Oryctolagus cuniculus: one gene and its partners. The protein of the gene in region 2 purifies or fractionates together with the protein of the main gene of each other region. This does not show direct contact. Links are inferred from orthologs where the notes say so. Each region holds a gene or a part of one and is shown on either strand. Other genes may lie near its edges.

Region 1 (4,450 bases), on a different chromosome or scaffold from region 2:
TGGTGATGCGGCTGCACGTCCCCGCACGTCCCCTCACCTGGGGTCCCCGGGACCCGGCAGATCTGCTAACCCCTGTCAAGAGCCGGGCTGAACTCAGCAGCAGGGCACAGGGCCTCTCACACCCCCGGCAGGTGACCCCGAGCATTCTCTCCTGCGGCCCTGGGAAATGGGGCTACTAACAAGCTGTCCAGGGCCGGAGAACATGCCGGTTCAGAGTGACAGCTCCAGGGTCCACCCAGTAATGCCTCAAATCTCCACTGGGGACTTAAAAAAAAAAATCACTGAAATTGATTCTGGTGCAAAAAACCCCGTCAAAGTCCACTAATTCAAGGGGTCTTCAAAAAGCTCCTGGGGGGCTGGCGCTGTGGCATAGCGGGTAATGCTGCCGCCTGCAACACCAGCATCCCATACGGGCACTGGTTCGGGTCCCGGCTGCTCCACCTCTGATCCAGCTCCCTGTTAACGTGCCTGAGACAGCAGTAGAAGATGGCCCAAAAGGTTGGGCCCCTGTACCCATGTGGGAGACCCAGAGGAAGCTCCTGGCTCTTGGCCCAGCCTGGCCCAGCCCTGGTCATTGTGGCCATTTGGGGAGTGAACCAGCAGATAGAAGACCTCTCTCTCTCTCTAATTCTGCCTTCCAAATAAATAAATCTTAAAAAAAAATTATCCAAGTATTTTGATTTTTTTGCATGAAAATAAAATGCCTGCCTGTTTGTGGGAGGACAATGAGAGAGGAGACACCCCCCACAGCACACCTGCTCAGAGAACATCTGGCCCGGCCTAGATCTCCTGTGTTCTCTCAAAGGGAAATGCAGTGACTTGCCCCAGGTCACACGGCAAGCTGGGTGAGTATGGAAATCTCCCGTCCCTGGTCTGTGGCAGGGCTCTGGCCATGGCACCCAAATCCCCACCCTTGGATGGAGGACTGGACTGGGACCAGCAGGTGGTATGGGTGGGTGGCGAGGAGGCGACGTGTGTCGCAAGGCCAGGTTGAGCCAGGCCGGAAGTGGACAAGGAGCAAGAAAAGCACTCTTGGGGGAGGGCATTAAGGCTAAGCTGTCCCTCCCTGGGCAAGGGGCAGGTGCGCGGGTGACCAGGGCGAGGCTCTGAGCAGGAAGTCCCAGAGAAAGATAAGGACCAGCTCCCGCGTGGGGGAGGGGTGAGGCAGCCACAGAGACACCTGCTTGGGGGCTGTTCCGGGCCTCAGTCCCCTCATCCTTGGGACCCAAAGGCAGGGGTAGCACCTGACACGCAGTAGGCCCTCAAGAAAAAGCAGTTTTCTTCCTCCCTGCTGTCTTTCCAGTCTGGGGATCCAGAGAGAAAGAATCACCAGTCTGTTCAGCAAGAAGTGACCGTGGGCAGAGCAGGTCACATAACTGCAGACAGCAGAAAACAAAGAGCCCAAAGAGACCTTGGCGCCCAGGCTCCCCATGGAGGCTTGGGGCAAAGAAGGGACCTGTCCAAGGTCCCCCTGCCTGACAGCCGCAGGTCAGGGGGGGAGGGGCCTCTGGCCTGTCACTGCCTTCATTTGGGAGGGTGGCAGGGCAGGGGGGAGCCCAGCTCTGGAGGCCCAGGGGTAGGATACACATCCCTCATGGCTTCCAGGGTGGGAGCCCGAAGAATGTCCCGGATGCCGATGACGTTCTCATGGGAGAAGCGTAGCAGGATCTGGATCTCCCTCAGCGTGCGCTGGCAGTAGGTCTGGTGTTCGAAGGGACTGATCTTCTTGATGGCCACGCGGGTCTTGCGCACGTGGTCATAGGCTGAGCTGAGAGGCCCAGAGAGACGTCGCTGCTGGTGTGGCCATGATGGTGGTGGTGATGGGGGGGGGGGAGCGGGAACCAGGCCCAGCGGGCCCCACCCAGGCCAGGGGCAGGGAGGGAGGGGACAGAGCAGGAGAGGGCTCTGGCCAAGTTATAAACAATGCTCGTTCCTTCCTGCTGTGAAGGCCTGGGCTCTCCAGGGAGAAAGCTGGGGACCAGCCAGGCCGCCTTTCGGTGACTTCACAAACAGAGGAAGACTGGCCACTCGCTGACTTCCCCTCTGCTTGACCCCCTTCCATTCTGCCCAAGCCCGGGCCTCCCTCCCCACCATGGGCTGCCTCAACCCACCACAGGGCCAGGGAGCGGGACCGAGGGGCGGGTCTGGGCCGAGGACAGCAGAGCAACTTCCGGTCGGTGCAAAGGCCCAAAGCACACAGTAGGGCTGGGCCAGCTCCCAGACCCCTCCCCAAGATGCAGGCAAGCAGGCACTCCCCACCTCTCCTCAGGCCCGGAGGCCCGAAGCCTCGCCCCACCCAGAGCCCTGCCTGTGCCGCTCCACTCCTGGGCACAGCCTCGCTTGGGGACTCCAAGGCACCCTAAGGTCCCCTCTCTCAAAAGAGGGTCCTCGTTCACCAAGACTACTGATTCTCGTCGCCCCACGCGGGTCTCTAGGGCCACCGCTCCCTCAACCCCAGACACCCAAATACCGCTGCTCCCTTCGGGGCGGAGGGCTCCCGTTCAAAGCCTCCAAGCCCCCTCCCCTAGGAACATGGGCAGCGCCCCCTCCCCCAGAAAGCACCCCAGGGCTCCTATCCCGGGCATACTCCACCAAGCCTCCAGAGTGCCCAGGTTCTACAGGCCACTCCAAGTCTCCACGGCCCAACGAGCCCCCTGCAGCCCTCCTCCGCCCCCTCCTCCGGGGTTGCCCCCTCCCTTGAGGCCGCCCCCTCCCCCGGAACGCCCCCTCACCTGACCATGCCGTACGCGCCCTCGCCGATGTACTGCAGCTGCGTGTAGCGTGGGCCCACGTCGAACGGCTGCCCCTTCACGACCTCCACTTCCCCGGGGACCCCCGGGCCGACCCCATCGGCTCCCCGGGGCTCCCCGCCCCCGCCCCCCTGAGCCGCCGCCGCCGCCGCCATCTCCACTCCTCCCCTCCCGCCCGCCCTCCCCACGGCGGCCCCGCCCGAGGCCCCGCCCCTTCCCGCCCGCGGGGCCGCGCGCGCCAGGCCCCGCCCCCGCGCGCCGCCCCCGCGCGCCCCCGCGCCCCCGCGCCCTGCGCGCGCCGCGGAGCCGGGGCGCGCGCCCGCGGACGTCACGTGGCCCTCCCCGCGCGCGTCCGGCTTTCCCGCCGCCGGGCAGCGGTGCTTGGTCGCTGCGGGCTTCCGTGTGCTGGGAGCGGGCGCGCCGGGCGGCTGTAGGCGCGGTCCATACCCCCTCGATTTCTAGGCAGCTGGCGGGTGACTTCCCCAGGGCCACCCGGCCAAGGTGTGCTGGGGCCGGACGCCCCCCACCCCGGAGTGCCTGGCCTTCTGGGACCAGAGCTGCTCCTGTGGGAGCCCCCTGGGGGTCCTCTCGGCCCTTGGTGGTTTGGCCTCCTTGAGCCAGCTCTGCTCGGCTGCCGAGGGAGTGTACTTGAAATCAGAGCCGCGTGGAGACCCACCTGCCGTTTAAGGGTGAGGCCGAAGCCCGAGGTGCTGCTGCCGGCGTGGGGTCCAGGCCCTGGCCCTCCCAGCAGCTGCAGCAGGGCCAGCTGTTGCCCCCACGTGCGTGCCAGGTGGGCAGGTTTCGTTAAAATACACTTGAAGAAGGAAAGAATCTGGGGCGGCGCTGTGACATAGCAGGTGCATCCGATATGCATCTCGGCTGCTCCACTTCCAATCCCGCTCCCTGCTAATGGCCTGAGAAAGCAGCCAAAGACAGCCAAAGTGCTTGGGCCCCTGCGTCCATGTGGGCCCATCCAGATGAGTCTCCTGGCTCCCGCCTGGCCCAGCTCTGGTTATTGGGGCCATTTGGGGACTGAATCAGGAGATGGAAGATTGACTTTCTCTCTCTCTGCCTCTCCTTCTCTGTAACTCTTTTAAAGTAATTAATCAATTAATCTTAAAAAGAAAAATCCAGCTTGTTGGATTTGGCAAAATTGAACTCACAAGAGGGTTGTCATCTTCCTGATTCTCTCAGTAGGCTGAGAGGGGCCAAGGTCAATCTTGTTCCTCACTGGATCCCCACCTCCCACCCCCATGCCTGGCACTGAAACATTAAAAAAATTTTCTTTTTGATGAATGAATCAAATTTTAAAAATATATTTCCTTTTTATTTGAAAGGCAGAGTTACACACAGAGAGAGATCTTCCATCCACTGCTTCACGCCTCAAATGGCCCCAATGGCCAGAGCTGGGCCAGGTGGAAGCCAGGAGCTTCTTCCAGGTCTCCCATGTGAGTGCAGGGACCCAAGCACTTGGACCATCTTCTATTGCTTTCCCAGGCCACAGCAGGGAGCTGGGTCGGAAGAGGAGCAGTGGAGATTTGAACCAGAGTCAGATTTTGCAGCTGGAGAATCTGAGAGCTGGGTTAACTTGGGTGAGGTCAGCGACACAATGACGCAGCTGGGGCGTGACGTGGTGTCTCTGACTCAGGCAGGAGCCGTGTCTGCTCACCCTCTCTCGGAATCCAGGCTGTGCTCATGGA
Region 2 (4,242 bases):
CTTGAAACACTCCTCCTTCCTTCCAGTGCACACATCTTTCAGACCTAGCTCCAGTGTACCTACCGTCTCCAAGGCACCACTCCCGATCCTCCATGAGAATCAAATCCTCCTGGCTCAACTCCTTCCAAGGGGTCATCTGCCTGTCTTTTAGGGTGAGCCTCGAGAAAGGACAGGCAATACGATGTTGAGGAAAGAGTTCAGAATCTGGACTCAGACCTTCTTAGCTGGAAGCCCATCCCTCTGATTCTGATACCCTTAAGGTATGCACCCTGAGATAAAGTCTCAGCCTCAACTTCCCCATCTGAAAAATGGGGTTGTAATACTATTGATAGCATGGGGGTGTTAAGAAGAATAAGTGACAGAGTGTAAGAAAAGCTTTGATACCACATAAAGATTAATTATTCAATCAATCATGCCAAGGTGCCAAAAAACTTAAAAACAAAAGTGCTGCTCCTTCCAGGGAGGTCTGCCGGGTGTCTCAGGCAGTCTGGGCAGTAAGTCCAGGAATAGGTCAGTGGGGGAGGGACTTGTTTGAGGGAGGAGGACTTTGAGGTCCTAAAATTGCACATTCTTGGGTGATCTGAAGAAGGGAAGAAGTGCAGGCCATAGGCATCAAGCTAGGGCCCTAATGGTATTAACAGCCACCAATCCCCGAGCTTTCTCTAGGCCATGGTCAGGCACTGTAAAAACACTCTCCATGCATCATCTCCTTGAGTCAGAAATTACTGCCTCACAGAGTGGGACAGGAAAACTGGGCGCACACCAGTTAGATAAAAAAGGGCTTCCCTGCATGGCAGAGACCCAGGGCCCAGCACTCACTATGAAGTCAGTGGAAATGGCGCTTCCTGGAGCAGAGTCCTGCAGGGACGCACGGGCTAGGGTGTCAGCAGCGGCTGCTGGGGGCTTGGCATGTGGTCACCAAGTCTCTGCTCCATGCTCTGCTGCTTTCCCCACTCAAGGGAGAAGTTCTTGAGACAAGCACCCCAGACCCTCACCGACGGAACACTGCCCTCCGGGCCAGCGATCCCAAGCAGCATCCAGCTCTGCTCCAACTCTGGCAACACAGTTGCCAGGGCCACGTCTCTGCACCAGGCATGGGGCTGAGCTCTGAGGGCTCGCAGCTGCCCCGGAGGCATCACCTGCAACCCCAGCTTCCCCCGGCAGCTTTGTCAGCAATACCCAGAGGCTACACTTAACAGATACCAAGAGGAAGAAGTGGCCGGCCAACAAGGACTTGGGGACATCCAGACTGGCGTGACGAAAGGGGTCTGGTTCAGTTAGAAAGACTGGGCCCTTGAGGAGGAGGGGAGAGTGACCAGGAGGGCATCAGGCAGATGAAGAGGGTGAATCTTTGGATGCCACATCATCTGGTCTCAGTGAGGACACTCCAGCTCAATGGCTCCTGGGAAAAATCTCATCTCTGGTCCAGGATTGCCTCACTCTCTCAATCTAAGTCCCAAACCTGGAGTGGCTGCACCTAAGACGGTTCTTCTTTGAGGCTGAATGAGGCAAATCAAAGGCCTTTTTTTAAAAAAAAAAAAAAAAAAAAGAGAGAGAGAGGGAGAGAAAAGCAAATGAATGGCACCTGGCTCCAGGTGGGGGCAGGGCTGGAATTACACTGTGGTAAATTCTGGGCTTGTGGGGTTTCAATGGGGATCAGATCTAACTGTAGACCTGTGCGCGCGGGAGGGGGGGGGGGGCTGTGAGTATGAAAGCCAGCGACCACAATGCAGGCTTTGTGACTAATTCTCCTGTGACCTTGGTTAAGCCACCTCATCTGGCCTCAGTTTCTCTATATGTGAAATAAAGGGACGAAATGGGTTCCTGAGGTTTTTAAGGTCCTGGGCCCTCTCAGCCACGTGATCCTGGAAAAACGTAAGCCCCCCAAGGCTCCTGGGCATTCTCCCGGGTTTTGCAGGAGCCTGGGCCTTCCCCAGGAAAAAAAGCGGCATGCTGGGGGAGGGGGACGCACAGGGCTTTTATTTTGGGAGTGGGTGGGATGCGAGTGGCCAAAGCTAAAGGGTTGGGGGAGGCGAAGCAATGGTGGTGGCGGCGGCGGGGGAGCTGCGGCTTGGGGAGGCCAGCAGGCTAGCGATTTCTAGGTCCCCCCTCCCCATCCCGGGGTTCAGACTCGAGAGGCGATGCAGCCCAGAGCCGCGCACTACCCAGGGCCGCAGAGGCTCGGACCCTGGACCGTCACGCTAGTCCCTCCCTGGAACAGCGCAAGAGCTTCGTGGGGAGTGGCTGCCGCTCCCTCCGGGCTTCCAGGGGCCGGGCCACCTCTCCAGCGTGGGGGGCCCCTCCCCCAGTCCGGGGGCGCCGGGAACCCCGTGGGGGCGTGGCGGGGGCGGACGCCGGCTCCAAGCCCCGGAGGGCTGGAGGAGGTCTCAGCTGCCAGGCTACCCTAGGAGGATCCCGCGCCCCCCGCCTTCGGGCGCCCCACACAAAGGCGCCGACGGAGGCGCAGCACTTACCGGCCAGAGCGGGCTCCGGGCGCCGGCGAGCTGGCGGGCGAGCTGGCGGGCAGGCTGGCGGGAGGATGTGCGCGCGCGGGTGCTTGTGTGTCTGCGTGTGTGTGTGTGTGTGTGTCCTTGTGTGTGCGCGAGAGTGTGTGTGTGTGAGAGAGACAGGGGCCGAGCTCTGTGCGTCTGCGTGTGCGGGGGCGTCCGTCCGTCTGTCCGTCCCGCGCTCCGTGCGCGCTCCCTCGCCCGTCCGCCCCACCAAATGCGCTTCAGCTGCGGAGTCGCTGGCGCAGCCGCGGGGTCGGTTCCGCACCCCCCAGCCCCGGCTCCGCCCCGCCTCCGGGCGGGCTTGCGCCGCTCCCCGGGAATTGCGCAGGGCCGGCGGGGCTGGGGGCGGGGAGCTCCAGCAGCGCCTGGGGGGCAAGGGGAGCCGGATCACCGACCCTAACCCCTGAATTCGTCTCAGCCCCACCTCCACCCCCGCAACTCTGTGCGGAGTCCTCGCAGGCGCCGCCCCCACGCCAAGGTTGCCTGGACCGGGAGGGCGGGGGCATGGGAGCACCGCATCCATTTCATTCATGATTTTCTCCTCCCTGGAGCCCCGGGTCGGGGCTGTGCGGCTACGGCAACAGCCAGAGGGATCCCCGCCTGGCCGTGCGCACCCAACCTGGAGGGGGACAGACTGGCAGACAGACTGGGGTAAGGGCCAGTGAGACAAAGGGTCAGAACGGGGGTGTGGGGGGGGGCGGTGTGCGGAGGGGTGCTGTGACATTCCCTGCACCATGCCCACAGCTGCGCACGCCGAGCGGGTCGGACACCGGGGCGCACGCAGTGCGGGGCATCCAAGACCCGTTCCGGGGCTCGGAGAAGGCGAATTTCCGCATTTCTCCCTGTCCAGTCCCTGGGGAGTGAGAGCGAGGCGGCTACCTCGCTCCCTCCACGGACTCTCGCCTTCCTGACGTGCGTCACGAGGAGGGGCGGGGCGCGCACCTGCCCTGGCTTTCTCCTGGGCACCAAGGGCTGGCAGGTGCAGGGAGCTGCCTATGCACCCCCCAATTCAACATTGCTCCCACTGGCACCCCGCTGGCTCGAGGTTCCCAAGACTCCTTCTCTACGGGGGCTCCTTGGGGCTTTGAGCAGCACACAGAGAGGGACCCTAAGCTCCATTTTTACAGCGGGACATGCAGGCAAGCCCCCGCCACGGCTGCCACCCTGGTTCCAGCCACTGGCCTCCTTAGCCTGGATTTCCTCAATGGCCTCTTTACTGGTCTCCCAGCGGCCACCCTCGGCCCCCTGCAGTTGGGTCTTCACACAGCAGTCAGAGCGATCCTTTCAAAACAAGTCCGATGGTGTTTTTTCCTTCTCTGGAAATCCTGCAATGGCTTTCCATTTCATCCAAGTGGGAGCTGAGCCTCTACAATGACCTGCGAGGCTCTGCATGAGCTGGCTTCCTTTTAGCTCTCAAACCTCACTTCCTATCACTCTGTCACTTCCCGGAGCTCTGGCCATCCTGGCATTTTTAATATATCACCAACACCAACATGGCACCACCCTGTGGTCTCAGGACCTTTGCACCATTAGTGTCTGCCCAGAAACTCTTTCGCCAGATAGTCTCATGGCTGGCTCCTTTACTGCTTCAAAATGTGTCTCTCAAAAGGAGATCTTCTGTGGCCATCTGATTTCTACTTAGAATTGCTGGCCTGTGGGTTGGTGTTTGGTACAATGGTAAAGGCTACACTTAGGAAGCCTGCACACCGTATCAGAGTGCTTGCCTCAGCTT
Region 3 (4,409 bases), on a different chromosome or scaffold from region 2:
CGGTGCCGCGGCTCAGTAGGCTAATCCTACGCCTTGCGGCCCTAGCACACCGGGTTCTAGTCCCGGTCGGGGCGCCAGATTCTGTCCCGGTTGCCCCTCTTCCAGGCCAGCTCTCTGCTGTGGCCCGGGAGTGCAGTGGAGGATGGCCCAAGTGCTTGGGCCCTGCACCCCACGGGAGACCAGGAGAGGCACCTGGCTTCGGATTAGCGCAGTGCACCGGCCGTGGTGCGCCGGCCACGGCAGCCATTGGAGGGTGAACCAATGGCAAAAAGGAAGACCTTTCTCTCTGTCTCTCTCTCTCTCTCACTGTCCACTCTGCCTGTCAAAAAAAAAAATAAATAAATAAATAAAAAATTTAACCACGAAGTCCTCCATAACCCCAGCACTGTATTTATCAAAAGCCAAACAATGTGCAGTATAGATTAACGGCAGGTTGTATCACCAACTTGCAATAATCTGTAATCTGGGCCCACGATTCAAATGTCAATTATATTTGTTTTATTTCAAAAGAGAAAATTACAGCAAGAGAAGTTAGCACTTCAACTGGAGACAGAGGTTGGATTAGTCTACAGCAGTGACAGAAACAGCTTCTAAATCGACATCACCCTCAGATTAAAGAAAAAAATCTCATCAGCTAAGGGAAAAAAATGCTTTCAACTGACATATCCTAAAGATTTTTTTTCAGTTCATATTTTATATAATTAAAGGGGGGAGGGGTGTCAAAGGGCATGACGGGCAATCCTGAGCCTCTCATGAGATAGTCACTGGTGTACTCACCAGCAGGCATGACAACAATAACACGTGTGACACAGAAGGGATACCAGGGGCAGTACTTTCTTTATTTTTTAAATTATTTTAATTTTTTGACAGGCAGAGTGGACAGTGAGAGAGAGAGACAGAGAGAAAGGTCTTCTTTTTGCCGTTGGTTCACCCTCCAATGGCCGGCGCGGCCGGCGCACCGCGCTGATCTGATGGCAGGAGCCAGGTGCTTCTCCTGGTCTCCCATGGGGTGCAGGGCCCAAGCACTTGGGCCATCCTCCACTGCACTCCCGGGCCACAGCAGAGAGTTGACCTGGAAGAGGGGCAACTGGGACAGAATCCGGTGCCCCGACCGGGACTAGAACCTGGGGTGCCGGTACCGCAGGTGGAGGATTAGCCTAGTGAGCCGTGGCGCCGGCCTCCAGTACTTTTTCAGAGCCTAATTTCTTTCAGGCCTGACCTAATTTCTCTTTTCACTTCTTAGCTGGGGTGGGGGTGGGGGTGGGGGTGGGGGTGGGGGGAAGTCATGCTAATTTTCACAGCTGTATACTGGGGAGCAATTCGCTCCTAAAGCAAACGAAAACATGCAGGATTCAATTATTCAAAAATAATTCCAACTACTTCTATCTAGTCAAGGTGATTGGTAAAGCAAGTGCTCCATGGCATTTCTGAAGTCATCATCACTCAGATTTGCATACGTTTCTTAAACAGACTCGCACACAGCAGTAAAAGAGGCTAAAAATCCCGAAATTATCACTGATGCTATTTTAAGGGACGCTGGGTGTACCACAAAGATCTCAGGCTTCAATCTCAAGACTGACACTTTCTTCTATGACCTTAGAAAATTGGCACCTAACAGAGGGATATTACCAGCTTTTCCTTTGGGGTGGGGTGGGGGGGCTGTTCAAATAAAATACGGATGTGGCACACAGTAAGGGGCACGAAGCAGTCCACAAATTAGTGCTCAGTTACTTCATTCATCAGGAAAAGACACACTCATGAGACTGAGAAGCAGGAGAATCTACTTCTGCACGAAGCGCCTCTTCCGAGGGAGCCTTGCGTGTGACTGTGCAAAAAAAGTCCCCGAAAGGCGGAATGTATACACTGACCGCTAAAATACCAACAGCAAAACCCTCGGTCCTCGGGCCAACACGACAGGATGCATCTATACTGGTTAGGAGCTCACCTGAGAGGAGGGAAGAGAGGGAGAGGAAAAAAAAAAAAAAAAAAAGAGCAAATTGGGCCCAACTGCAAGCAGATTTAATAAACCAAGAGGGATGCCGGCTGCTTATTCCTGAAACGCACGGTAACACATGCATGCCCGTTTAAACATTAAAAAAAAAAAAAAAACTGCAAGACGAATTCTTCATACAAGCCACACTGCCGACCTGGGTGCTTTTTCGGAAGGCCTGCTCAGGCGAGCACCAGCTAACGACCGCTGAGGGACAGACACTTCACGCACAGCCGGCCGCCGTTCCGCACACACGCAGGGTCCAACCGCGTCCAAGCCCAGGGCCATGCATCTGACGGCATTCCCGGCTTCGCGAGCACCCCGGGGCGCGACGGATGCTTCCGTTCCCCTCCTGGGCTGGGGATCGGGAATCTGGGCTTGCAATCTACATTTCTGAAATCTTGGGGGGTGGGGTGGAGGAGCCGGGCTGGAAACCCAGCGGCTATCCGGTGCAGGGCGTCCGCGGGTCCCGGCCTCCGCCCCCCTGCGGCGAGCGAGGGCCCGGCCCGGGACCGGCCACCGGCCACGAGCAGCGACATCTTAAACCTCGAGCCGGGGCCCTGCCCGAGGGAGCCCGGGACTGGGGTCGACCGCTGCGCGGGAGGCCGAGACGCGGGCGAGGCCGCGGCGCATCCGCTGCAGCCCCGGGCGGGGGAGCGGGCCAGGCCTGCGGGGCGGGCGCCGACACTCACCACACCATGCCGTAGGCGCCCTCGCCGATGTACGAGAGGTTGGTGTAGCGCGGCCCCACGTCGAACACCTGCCCGCGGACCATCTCCGGGCCCGTGCCCGCCGCCGCCGCCGCCGCCATGTTGGCTGCCGGGCCGCCGCCGCCGCGCTGGGCTCGACGCTCCGCGGCCGCCGCTCCGCTCCCGCCGCGCTTCCCCAAGGGACCGCGCCGCCGTCCGTGCAGCCGCCGCAGCTGACCGCCAAAGAGGCAGGACGGCGCCGCTTTCGGGGAAGCGGAGAGCCGACGTCCGCTCGCCTCGACTGCCCGTCTCACTTACTGACTGACGGGCGGGCCCGCGGGCGGAGGGAGGGGCGCGCGCCGAGCAGGGCGCCGGGGCGGGGCCGAGCAGCGTGCTCGAGGATTGGCTGCCTGCGGCTGGGGGCGGGGCCGCGCGGGCCGGCGGAAGCGGCGAGCTCAGGGCGGAGCGCTGCGGCGGCGGCGGCGGCGGCGGCGGCGGCTGCGGAGGAGGCGCCGAAGGGCGCGGTCACGTGCGTTCGCTGGTGAGTCGGCGCGGGAGGCGGCTGAGGAGACGCTGAGAGCGGAATGGGGAGACGGGGCGTCACGGGGCTGACCCTGAGGGGCCGGGGCTGGGGCCGGGCGGCGAGCTCGGGCAGTGCGGGGGAAGACGAACGACGCTGCACACGTGGGCTTCGGGCCCTCTGGGGCCCAAACGCTCTGAACAACTTAGGAGGTGTGGAGATTATGTTAGGAACCAGAATACGTGGTCCAGACCGAAGAAGAGATTTGAGTACTGAGAACGTGTGAGACAGGAGAGGCCGAGTGGGTCTGCCCTTAGATCCGCCCTCGTAGAAGATAACTTCCGGAGAGAGGTTTCTCAGGCTGAGGTACTTTCTATGGAGAAATGTCAAGCAGAGTAAGGGGCAGAGAGGAGTGGGTTGAGACACCTGAGGAAGACTCGAGTTGCCACTGTGAGACCGAGACCCATGTTAGGCCGGATGGACATGAGCTTTGAGACGTAGAACGTACTGAGCTGGAAACACCAGGGTGGAATCGCTAAAACCAATAGTCACAGACACATGAGAGGCTGAAAATTAAAAAACTGCAATCTTGAAGCAGACGGATGCCAAGGAAGCTCAGGCCACGCGGTGGAAGATGGGCCAGCCACCGCCTCGGAACCATTTCCTTGCCGTCTGCAGAGGGAAGTGAGAAGGCAGACTCCCCTCATAGCCTTCAGAGCTGCTAATTCGAGACGGCTGGAAATCAATAAAGATTAGCCAGTCAGTCTGGCGCGTTAAAAGCCCTGTGGGAGAGAAAAAAAATAGTGTTACATAAGGGGAAAAAAGTGCTACACCCAAAAGTGAGTTCAAATGTTAGTCCGTGAAGCAGAACCCAATTTTGAAAACACCTAATTCTTATTCTTGATTCTGAAAGGACATTGCATCTCTTTTTAAAAACAGGATGATGAGGCCGGCGCCGCGGCTCAGTAGGCTAATCCTCCACCTTGCGGCGCCGGCACACCGGGTTCTAGTCCCGGTCGGGGCGCCGGATTCTGTCCCGGTTGCCCCTCTTCCAGGCCAGCCCTCTGCTGTGGCCAGGGAGTGCAGTGGAGGATGGCCCAGGTGCTTGGGCCCTGCACCCCATAGGAGACCAGGAAAAGCACCTGGCTCCTGGCTCCTGCCATCGGATCAGCGCGGTGCGCCGGCCGCAGCGCGCCGGCCGCGGCGGCCA
Region 4 (3,086 bases), on a different chromosome or scaffold from region 2:
TGCCCAAAGCTGCTGCCTGGGGAACTTGATTTCTCTGGCAGCATCTCAAGTCACAGGGGCACAGGACGTGCCTAAGATTCCTCTGCCCCCAGCTTCATCAGGACAGGACGCAGCGTGAGTGACAGTGGACCAGCATGCCACGGCCTGACCCCTGACCCTGACCCAGCAGCTCGAGGCCTGCGAACCTGGGCATACTCGTGCTCTCCCGTGTGAAGGCGGTGATGCGGTGGGCGGTCACAAGGCTGTCGCAAAGCCTACCGGAGATGAAGGCGGAGAGCAGCCGACTGGCAGCTGTGTTAGTTCAGGGTCAAGGGCGTTTCAGCGAGAGCAGGCAGGGCAAGAGCCGCCTGGTGGTCGCCAGGGATGCGGAGTTGCACCCGCCCTAAGGCCCAGCTGCACTTTGTTGAGGGAGCGGGTGCAGCATGCGTGTTTACCCAATTCCCAAGAATAACCCGCACTGACCCACTCTGCGGCCAACAGGACCTGCACACCAGGGGCTACTGGAAGACAGACACAGACCAAGGCCCTGGGCTCCGCGGAGACGGTCAGCGACACGGGCTGTTCAGAAAGCGCTTTATTGTTGCTCCAAGCGCCAGGGTTTCCACCGACAGAAAACCACGGCTCACATAATCTCTCGCATGGCCTTGCTCAGCTTCTGAATCTTGGTTTTTGCAGACATATCGACGTACTTCTCTCCAATGCGGACAATCATCCCACCCATGATCGACGGGTCCGTCTAGGGGAGGAAACACGTCAGAGTATGACAGTGCACGGCCTTGGCTCAGCAGCCACGCGGGCAGGCGAGAGAGTGCTAAGCACACAGCACAACCGCTTCTGGAGAAAGGCCAGCGCGAAGCTGCCCGGAAGCAGGTCGTCTACACTGACAACTAAGTTAACATTCATTCTTCAGAATCTGATTTAATGTTCGCTACACTCTGGCCTCAGAATCAGCCCTTGCAGCATTCAGATCCGGCTAAAAAGCCCATAAGTTTCTCAGGCTTGGAAAGCCAAGACACTGTGGCAAAAAACAAACAAACAAACAAACAAAAAAACCAACCTAAATGAAAGATCTCTGTGAGTGAGATCCCAGTGAAAACAAGGGGCCATCAAAGAAGGAGGTACCTTTCTCTGAAGGGAGAACTTCCACTTTGACTATGGCCTTGTCTGTGGTCGGAGTTTGTGCACTCAAGAGGCTTCCATAGCCTTGGCAGCTCATGACAAGAGCCTCGGGTGATTACTGACATCATAAATAAGAGTGTCAATTGCTAAATCAACAACAGGAGTCGCTGTGCACCTACTCCCCATGTAGGATCTCTGTCCTTAATGAGTTGCACTATGAGAATTAATGGTAAAACTACTACTCAAACAGTACTTTATACTTTGTGTGTCTGTGTGGGTGCAAACTGTTGAAGTCTTTACTTAGTACAGAGTTGGTCTTCTGTGTAATTAAAAATGAATCCTAGTGAAGAATGGGATGGGAGAGCAGGAGGTGGGACGGGAGTGGGGGCGGAAGGGCGGGTATGGGGGAAGAACCGCTAGAATCCGAAAGCTGTACCTAGGAAATTTATATTTATTAAATAAAAGCTTTCTTTAAAAAATTGTTCTCTAAGACTCCCTCAAGCCATTTTACGTCTCGAGTCACCTGGAAAAGGTCCCAGACAGCGGACAACTGAAGACCTACCTTGACCTCCAGCTTCAGCACCTGGCCTTGGCTGAGGAAGCTCTTCAGGACCGTCTTCAGCTCGGAGAGAGTGGCTTCCTCTAGAGGCTGAAACGTGGGACAGCAGCCTTCAACCAAGGAAGGAGACGCGACGGCACAGAGCCATGCCCGGCTCGCGAACCCCGTCTCACCCAGGCCCCGGGTGGGGACGCACACCCACTGCCCCTGTGCTGCTGGTCAGGTCAGAGGGGCCCCGCCTCCTGAGCACAGCCGGGCAACTCGGCTGCGGCACCAGTGCCCACGCACGCACTCCCGCCTGTCCTGAGAGGAGCCCCCGAGGCCGCCACGGCCTGCTGACGCACGTCTGCCTGCACTGGGGCCATGGCGCTCCTCCGGGCTCCCCGAGGGGATGACGCGCTGCTTAACCTGGCTCTAGTCTTCGGCTTCCCAGTCAGGTCCACGGCTCCCTGGCCCCCTGAAGCTCCGGCCCGCCGCCACCCTGCCGCGAGAACCGCTCGGGGAGACCCTGGGGCTGGCTCTGTCCTGCACGCTGCGTCCTCTCCGCTCAGCCCCGACACTCGCTCCTGGTTGGTTAGCTGAGCACGGGAAAGGCTGCCCACGCCAGCAACTGATCTAACAGCGTCGTCTGCCGGGTGGTGGCGGGGAGTCGGTCGGGGCTCCATGAAAACGCGCTCCGCCTAGGCTTTGCCTCCTCCAGCCCAGGACCAGGGGCACTGGCACCCGAGTGCCTTCGTCAGGACAGCGACTGTATGCCCACACCACACAGGAACCGGCCGTCCGGGTGGCTGGGGACTTGCCTGAGGCCGCTCAGCGCGTGCACTTCCAAAGCCCGCGTCCTCAGTGACTGATTGGGTGTGCTTCCCCCCCCCAACTCCCGGAAGTTTACAGAGCTAACAGTTGGTTCTAAGAAGCTCCTGCAAAAAATAAGCCACCTTGGGCCACGCTGGAACCACGAGTCTAGATGAGGCGGGGCTGGGGACTCCAGGTAACCCCAGCACCCTGCGCCGATGCTTATGCCGCAGGGGCGCCAGCAAGGAAACACGCAGCTAAGACCACAGAACTGTCTCTGGAGAGGAGACGGGGTGCAGCAAGGAATGCAGATATCGTGTGTCCCTGGTGGTCTAGTGGCTAGGATAGGGTTGCAGGCAGAGACAGAGAGGCCCGGGTCTGAATCCTGTCCCGCCTTGCGCAAGCCCGGGGCAAGCGACTCCATTCCAGCGTCTGTAAAGTGAGGACAGTCACTCCCACCTCCCGCGGATCGTCTCGTGGTCACCAGTGAATTATGAAATGAGGCTCTACGACAAGTCGGCAACCTCACCGGGCTGTCCACTGATGCCTCCCACTCACCACCCAAAAGGACGAAGGACTAGGGACCGCTCAACAGGATAACTGAAACCCGGCAGGG
Region 5 (4,363 bases), on a different chromosome or scaffold from region 2:
GAACTGCCTCTTGCCGGTGCCGTTCCACGCGGCCGTTCAAAGCAGAGGCGGGAGATAAGCTTCCAGGCACCGTCGTCAGCCACTCACTCTACCAATATTGACCGAGCGAGCGCCCGCGACGTGCGGGACCCCGCTGCGGGCGGCGGACCCAGCCCGGCCCGCGACCCGCGACTCTCTGCCTGCAGCCCCGCCTCCCGGGCGGCCCTGGCAGCAGCTCACCTGTTTCCCCGCCCGAGGCGGGAGTGCGGCGGGCGGCTCGGGTCTCCCAGGGCTCTGGCCTGGCTGGCAGCGCTGCCGACCCGGACGCCGGCGGTTCCCGAGCCGTTGCGGCCGAACCCGCGGGCGTTCGGGGCGGGCGGGCAACGAGAGCGGGGGCGAGGAAGGAGAACACGGCCGTGGGAGCCCTCGGCCCCTGTCCTGGGGTGGCCCTCAAAGGATCGGAGGACAAGATAGACTCCCATCCTTGCGCTCAGGGTAGCAGGCGTTAGCACGGGCCGGGCCAGCACCAGTAGGTATGGGCCTGGGGTTACAACACTTGCCCACTCGCGGGTATTTTCTTGTCCCTATGAGGTGGGAACGGAGGACCGGAGTTCTCTTGCAACTGAGCAGGGCCTACCGGCTTGCCTAAAAGCGACATTGCCACAAGCGCACTCCCTGCTCCTCCGCCTTCCTGGGAGAGCCCCCACTTAAAATCTCCAAGTCCTCTTCTCAGGACTGCTCTTGGGGCCGAAGTCGGTTTATAAGCTTCGGGGCCACGGCTTTTAAGACACATCAGAGCCACCTGTACGGCCCCGACCCCCGCAGAGGCCCCTGAGGGTCCCGGGGCGACCTTTGCACCCGTTCGGGTGCAAAGTCTCGGCTTCCAGCGGGGCTAATATTTGTCTTTGGGGCCGATTTCGTCAGCGTCCCGGAGGGTTAGCCATCTGTCCATGAGCACACGGGAATGCGACGGCCTTCTGACTGGAACCAGTTTTTGACGCCGGTATTTCTTGGAAACGGCGGAGTTCCACCGAGCAGGTGCTCGGCCGCAGTTCCAAGATCTGTTGGCTCTTTTCCCGACACGCTTACTCGTCCCCGTCGCTCTCCGCAGTGGTCAGGCACTACAGCCCCACCAACCACAGTGGGGCGCGCGCGGCCTGTGGTGCGCGAGCATCCCCGCCTTAGCCGTCCGCCTCGGCGCCCCGAAGAACAGTCCCCGGGAGTTCCTGCCTCTGGGCTCCAGCTGTTGCTCTCTTCTCGCGAGAACTGCTCCTCCGGCGCTCTCTCCTCCCGAACCCCCTCCCGCGGGGAGGTTCCATATTGGGTAAAATCTCGGCTCGCGGAGAGTCCCGGGAGCTGATCTCGCGAGAGGACGGCAGGCGGCTCCTGTTCGCTGGCTCTGGAACTGCGACCACTGGAGCCTCAGCTGGCGCTGCAACTGGAGCGGGAGTCCAGCGGCACGGCCCGCCGTCGGCCCGGCCCGGGAGAGGGTGCAGGGAGACCCCGGCGGGCGCAGCCCTCAGCCTCGGAGCGCGCTCCTGCCCTTTGCCGGGCTCGCCTCGGTCCCTGAGGCGCGTCCAGCAGCTGCAGCTGACAGGGGCCGCACGCGCGGGTGTCTGCGGGGGTCTCAGCAGCCGCACCTGCGCGGCGGCCAGCGCGAGGTCCCCGCCCGCCTGGGCGGGCGACGAGGGCCGGGGAGCGGGCGTGGGTGCAGGCGGGGGCACCTCAGGGCCACCTCCTCGCCCCGCGGCCGTCGCTGGAAAATGTCTCAGGAGAGGCCCACGTTCTATCGGCAGGAGCTGAACAAGACAATCTGGGAGGTGCCCGAGCGTTACCAGAATCTGTCCCCGGTGGGCTCTGGCGCCTATGGCTCCGTGTGGTGAGTGTTGCTAGGCCCGGGGCCGCGGTGGGTAGGGTGGCCCCTGGTGCCCGAGGGCCAGGCCTGCCCCCGCGGCTCCGCTATGCGCCCAGCGGCAGGAATTTCCCCCGAGGGAGAGCATGGCTGTCCCTGCACCCCCTGCATCCCGCAGCCTGCACGCCCAGGGCGGTGGTCCATTGCGTGCAGGCGCAGGTCCGCTGTGGGCGGTAGGTGGTGGTGCTGGCTGGAGCTCGCTCCTGGCGCACGCCCTGCGCTTTCGTTTCGCTGAGCGCTGCTCCCCCCCGGGGGGCAGGCCCTGGGGGAGGGGCGGCTGTTCTGCGGGGAGCTGGGGAGGGGGGTCCCTACGAACACTTTGCAGAAGGACCCTCTCCCGGGGGTGCACCCGTCCCGGGGGCGCGGACGACCCGGGGAGCTGCGGGAGAAAGCAGAACCCGGTTGGGAGATCGGGTGGTCTGAACAAAACTGACGACGAAGGTAGCCCCCTCCAGGCTTTTCTTTCTTTCCTTCTTTTTTGCAAACCTCTGTGGAAATCCCGTCTGGAGAAGCGTTCTTTTTGAATTCGCAGCGACCCATAGGGCTTAAAATATCGGCTTTATCTCGGCGAGCCCTGTGCCAGCTTGAGTGGTGTGTTTCCGATTCGGTCGAGAGCGTGTTTCCTTTCCGTGGAGGGCGGCGGTGGTGGCTGCCGCTTGAGAAACTGGCGGCCTGGCTGATTAGTCACATACCACTGCTCATTTAAAGTATTGTTTGACGAAGCAGGGTTCTCACGGGGAGCAGGGGAGCCTCGGATCCCTCCGCCGCGTGCCCTCGAAACCCAAAAGTCGCTCACGGTGCAGGGAGCTACTGTGAATATTTGAAAGTTGAGATAATTCCTGTGAATCGTGTATTTTTAAGGCCCCTTGGAGAGTGTGCAGAGACCTTATCTGTGGCTATGGCCTGAGATACACTTGGTTTTCGTTAGGATCGGGAACTTCCAGGAGAAGAAAGTTAGACACCGGCCAGCTGTCCTTTACAAGGTGCCTGTATTTAAGTTGACACCAGGACATTTCCAGACCTGAAGTATTTCACTGACTTCTCTAACTTCCAAGGCCTTAGACACTGTATTTTATACTTAGTATCTTTTGAGAGCTCCTGATCTGAAACTAAGTGTCCGGCTTCATAGTAAGCTTTTTCCTGTTTTATCAATTCCTGGGCATGCATGGGTGGAAAAGGAGCTAGGAAAATGCTTTTTTTGTTTTGTTTTGTTCGGAACAAATTCCAGGCTTTTGGATTTGTTCATCTTTAAATATGATTCCCGTGTTTCTTAAAATCACATCATGAATTTCCTGTTTGGTAGAATCTTCTGGGTAATTGAGATTGTGCAATTGTGTCCAGCAACAGATCGTATTGCATTTTCTAGTTCAAGCCGCTTGAGTAATGCTGCAGGTGTCACCGTGGCTGACATCTTTCTCCCACTTTTACGCTGTGGCAGTTAACCTTTTCAAGGAATTTGAAGCTTTTTTAGTTAGTATATATACTAGTTATTGATTTGCTAATTTTCAGAGGTGTATTTAGATAATTGCTCCTTTAAAATTTAAGGACTCTGTGGCCAGCGCTGTGGTGCTGTTATCCCACATGTGCGCAGACTTGAGTCCTGGTGGCTCCACTTCTGATCCAGCTCTCTACTGTGGCCTGGGAAAGCAATGGAAGATGGCCCAAGTCCTTGGGCCCCTGCACCCAGGTGGGAGATCCAGAGGAGACTCCTGGCTCCTGGCTTCAAATCAGCCCAGCTCTGGCCTTTACAGCAGATGAAAGACCTTTCTCTATGTCTCTCTTCTCTCTGTCTGTAACTCTATCACTCAAATAAAATCTTTGAAAAAAAAATTTATGGGCTCATTAATATACCTCCATTTTTCATTCTTTTTAAGGTTTTATTTATTTATTTGAGAGGTAGAGTTACAGGCAGTTGAAAGGGAGAGATGGAGAGATAGGTCTTCAATCCGCCAGTTCACTCCCCAAATGGTCACAACCGCTGGAGGTGGGCCAATCTGAAGCCAGGAGCCAGGAGCTTCTTCTAGATCTCCCACATGAGTACAGGTGCTTAAAAATTGAGCCATTTTCTACTGCTTTCCCAGGCCTCAACAGAGAACTGGATCGGAAGAGGAGCAGCCGAGAATCAAACTGCCGGGACTCAAACTGGCACCCATATGGAGATTTAACCTACTGCACCACAGTGCCACCCCCTCCATTTTCCATTTTTTTTAAAAAAAATTATGTATTTGAAAGGCAGAGTTAGAGGGAGAGAGAGAGAGAGAAAGCTTCTCCCTGGTTCACTCCTCAAATGGCTGTAACAACCAGGGCTGGGTTAGGCTGAAGTCAGGCACCTGGAACTTCATCCTGGTCTCCCATGTGGGTGAAGGGGCCCAAGCACTTGGGCCATCTTCTGCTGCTTTCCCAGATACGTTAGCTGGGAGATGTATAGAAGTGGAGCAGCCAGGACTCCAACTGGAGTGCATATGGGATACC

What was found.
Region 1: the proteins of PTPN5 (region 2) and MAPK3 purify together in Homo sapiens (affinity purification with mass spectrometry; 4 studies listed by BioGRID and IntAct, with this or other methods). This does not show direct contact. The link is inferred for Oryctolagus cuniculus from reciprocal best matches to the Homo sapiens genes PTPN5 and MAPK3.
Region 3: the proteins of PTPN5 (region 2) and MAPK1 purify together in Homo sapiens (affinity purification with mass spectrometry; 4 studies listed by BioGRID and IntAct, with this or other methods). This does not show direct contact. The link is inferred for Oryctolagus cuniculus from reciprocal best matches to the Homo sapiens genes PTPN5 and MAPK1.
Region 4: the proteins of PTPN5 (region 2) and ATP5PO purify together in Homo sapiens (affinity purification with mass spectrometry; 3 studies listed by BioGRID and IntAct, with this or other methods). This does not show direct contact. The link is inferred for Oryctolagus cuniculus from reciprocal best matches to the Homo sapiens genes PTPN5 and ATP5PO.
Region 5: the proteins of PTPN5 (region 2) and MAPK14 purify together in Homo sapiens (affinity purification with mass spectrometry; 3 studies listed by BioGRID and IntAct, with this or other methods). This does not show direct contact. The link is inferred for Oryctolagus cuniculus from reciprocal best matches to the Homo sapiens genes PTPN5 and MAPK14.

Annotation. Positions count from the first base shown.
Region 1 is NC_091450.1:7,472,619-7,477,068, forward strand, and holds the start of MAPK3 (mitogen-activated protein kinase 3), read right to left. Parts: upstream 2,906-4,450; coding exon 2,733-2,905; intron 1,769-2,732; coding exon 1,586-1,768; intron 1-1,585.
Region 2 is NC_091432.1:47,657,766-47,662,007, reverse strand, and holds the start of PTPN5 (tyrosine-protein phosphatase non-receptor type 5), read right to left. Parts: upstream 2,923-4,242; 5' UTR 2,475-2,922; intron 1-2,474. UniProt on the Homo sapiens protein: May regulate the activity of several effector molecules involved in synaptic plasticity and neuronal cell survival, including MAPKs, Src family kinases and NMDA receptors.
Region 3 is NC_091452.1:28,976,283-28,980,691, reverse strand, and holds the start of MAPK1 (mitogen-activated protein kinase 1), read right to left. Parts: upstream 2,941-4,409; 5' UTR 2,802-2,940; coding exon 2,683-2,801; intron 1-2,682. UniProt on the Homo sapiens protein: Serine/threonine kinase which acts as an essential component of the MAP kinase signal transduction pathway. MAPK1/ERK2 and MAPK3/ERK1 are the 2 MAPKs which play an important role in the MAPK/ERK cascade.
Region 4 is NC_091435.1:11,126,903-11,129,988, reverse strand, and holds the end of ATP5PO (ATP synthase subunit O, mitochondrial), read right to left. Parts: intron 1,769-3,086; coding exon 1,682-1,768; intron 737-1,681; coding exon 623-736; downstream 1-622. UniProt on the Homo sapiens protein: Subunit OSCP, of the mitochondrial membrane ATP synthase complex (F(1)F(0) ATP synthase or Complex V) that produces ATP from ADP in the presence of a proton gradient across the membrane which is generated by electron transport complexes of the respiratory chain.
Region 5 is NC_091436.1:133,478,789-133,483,151, reverse strand, and holds the start of MAPK14 (mitogen-activated protein kinase 14), read left to right. Parts: upstream 1-1,379; 5' UTR 1,380-1,742; coding exon 1,743-1,858; intron 1,859-2,450; exon of another isoform or gene 2,451-2,585; intron 2,586-4,363. UniProt on the Homo sapiens protein: Serine/threonine kinase which acts as an essential component of the MAP kinase signal transduction pathway.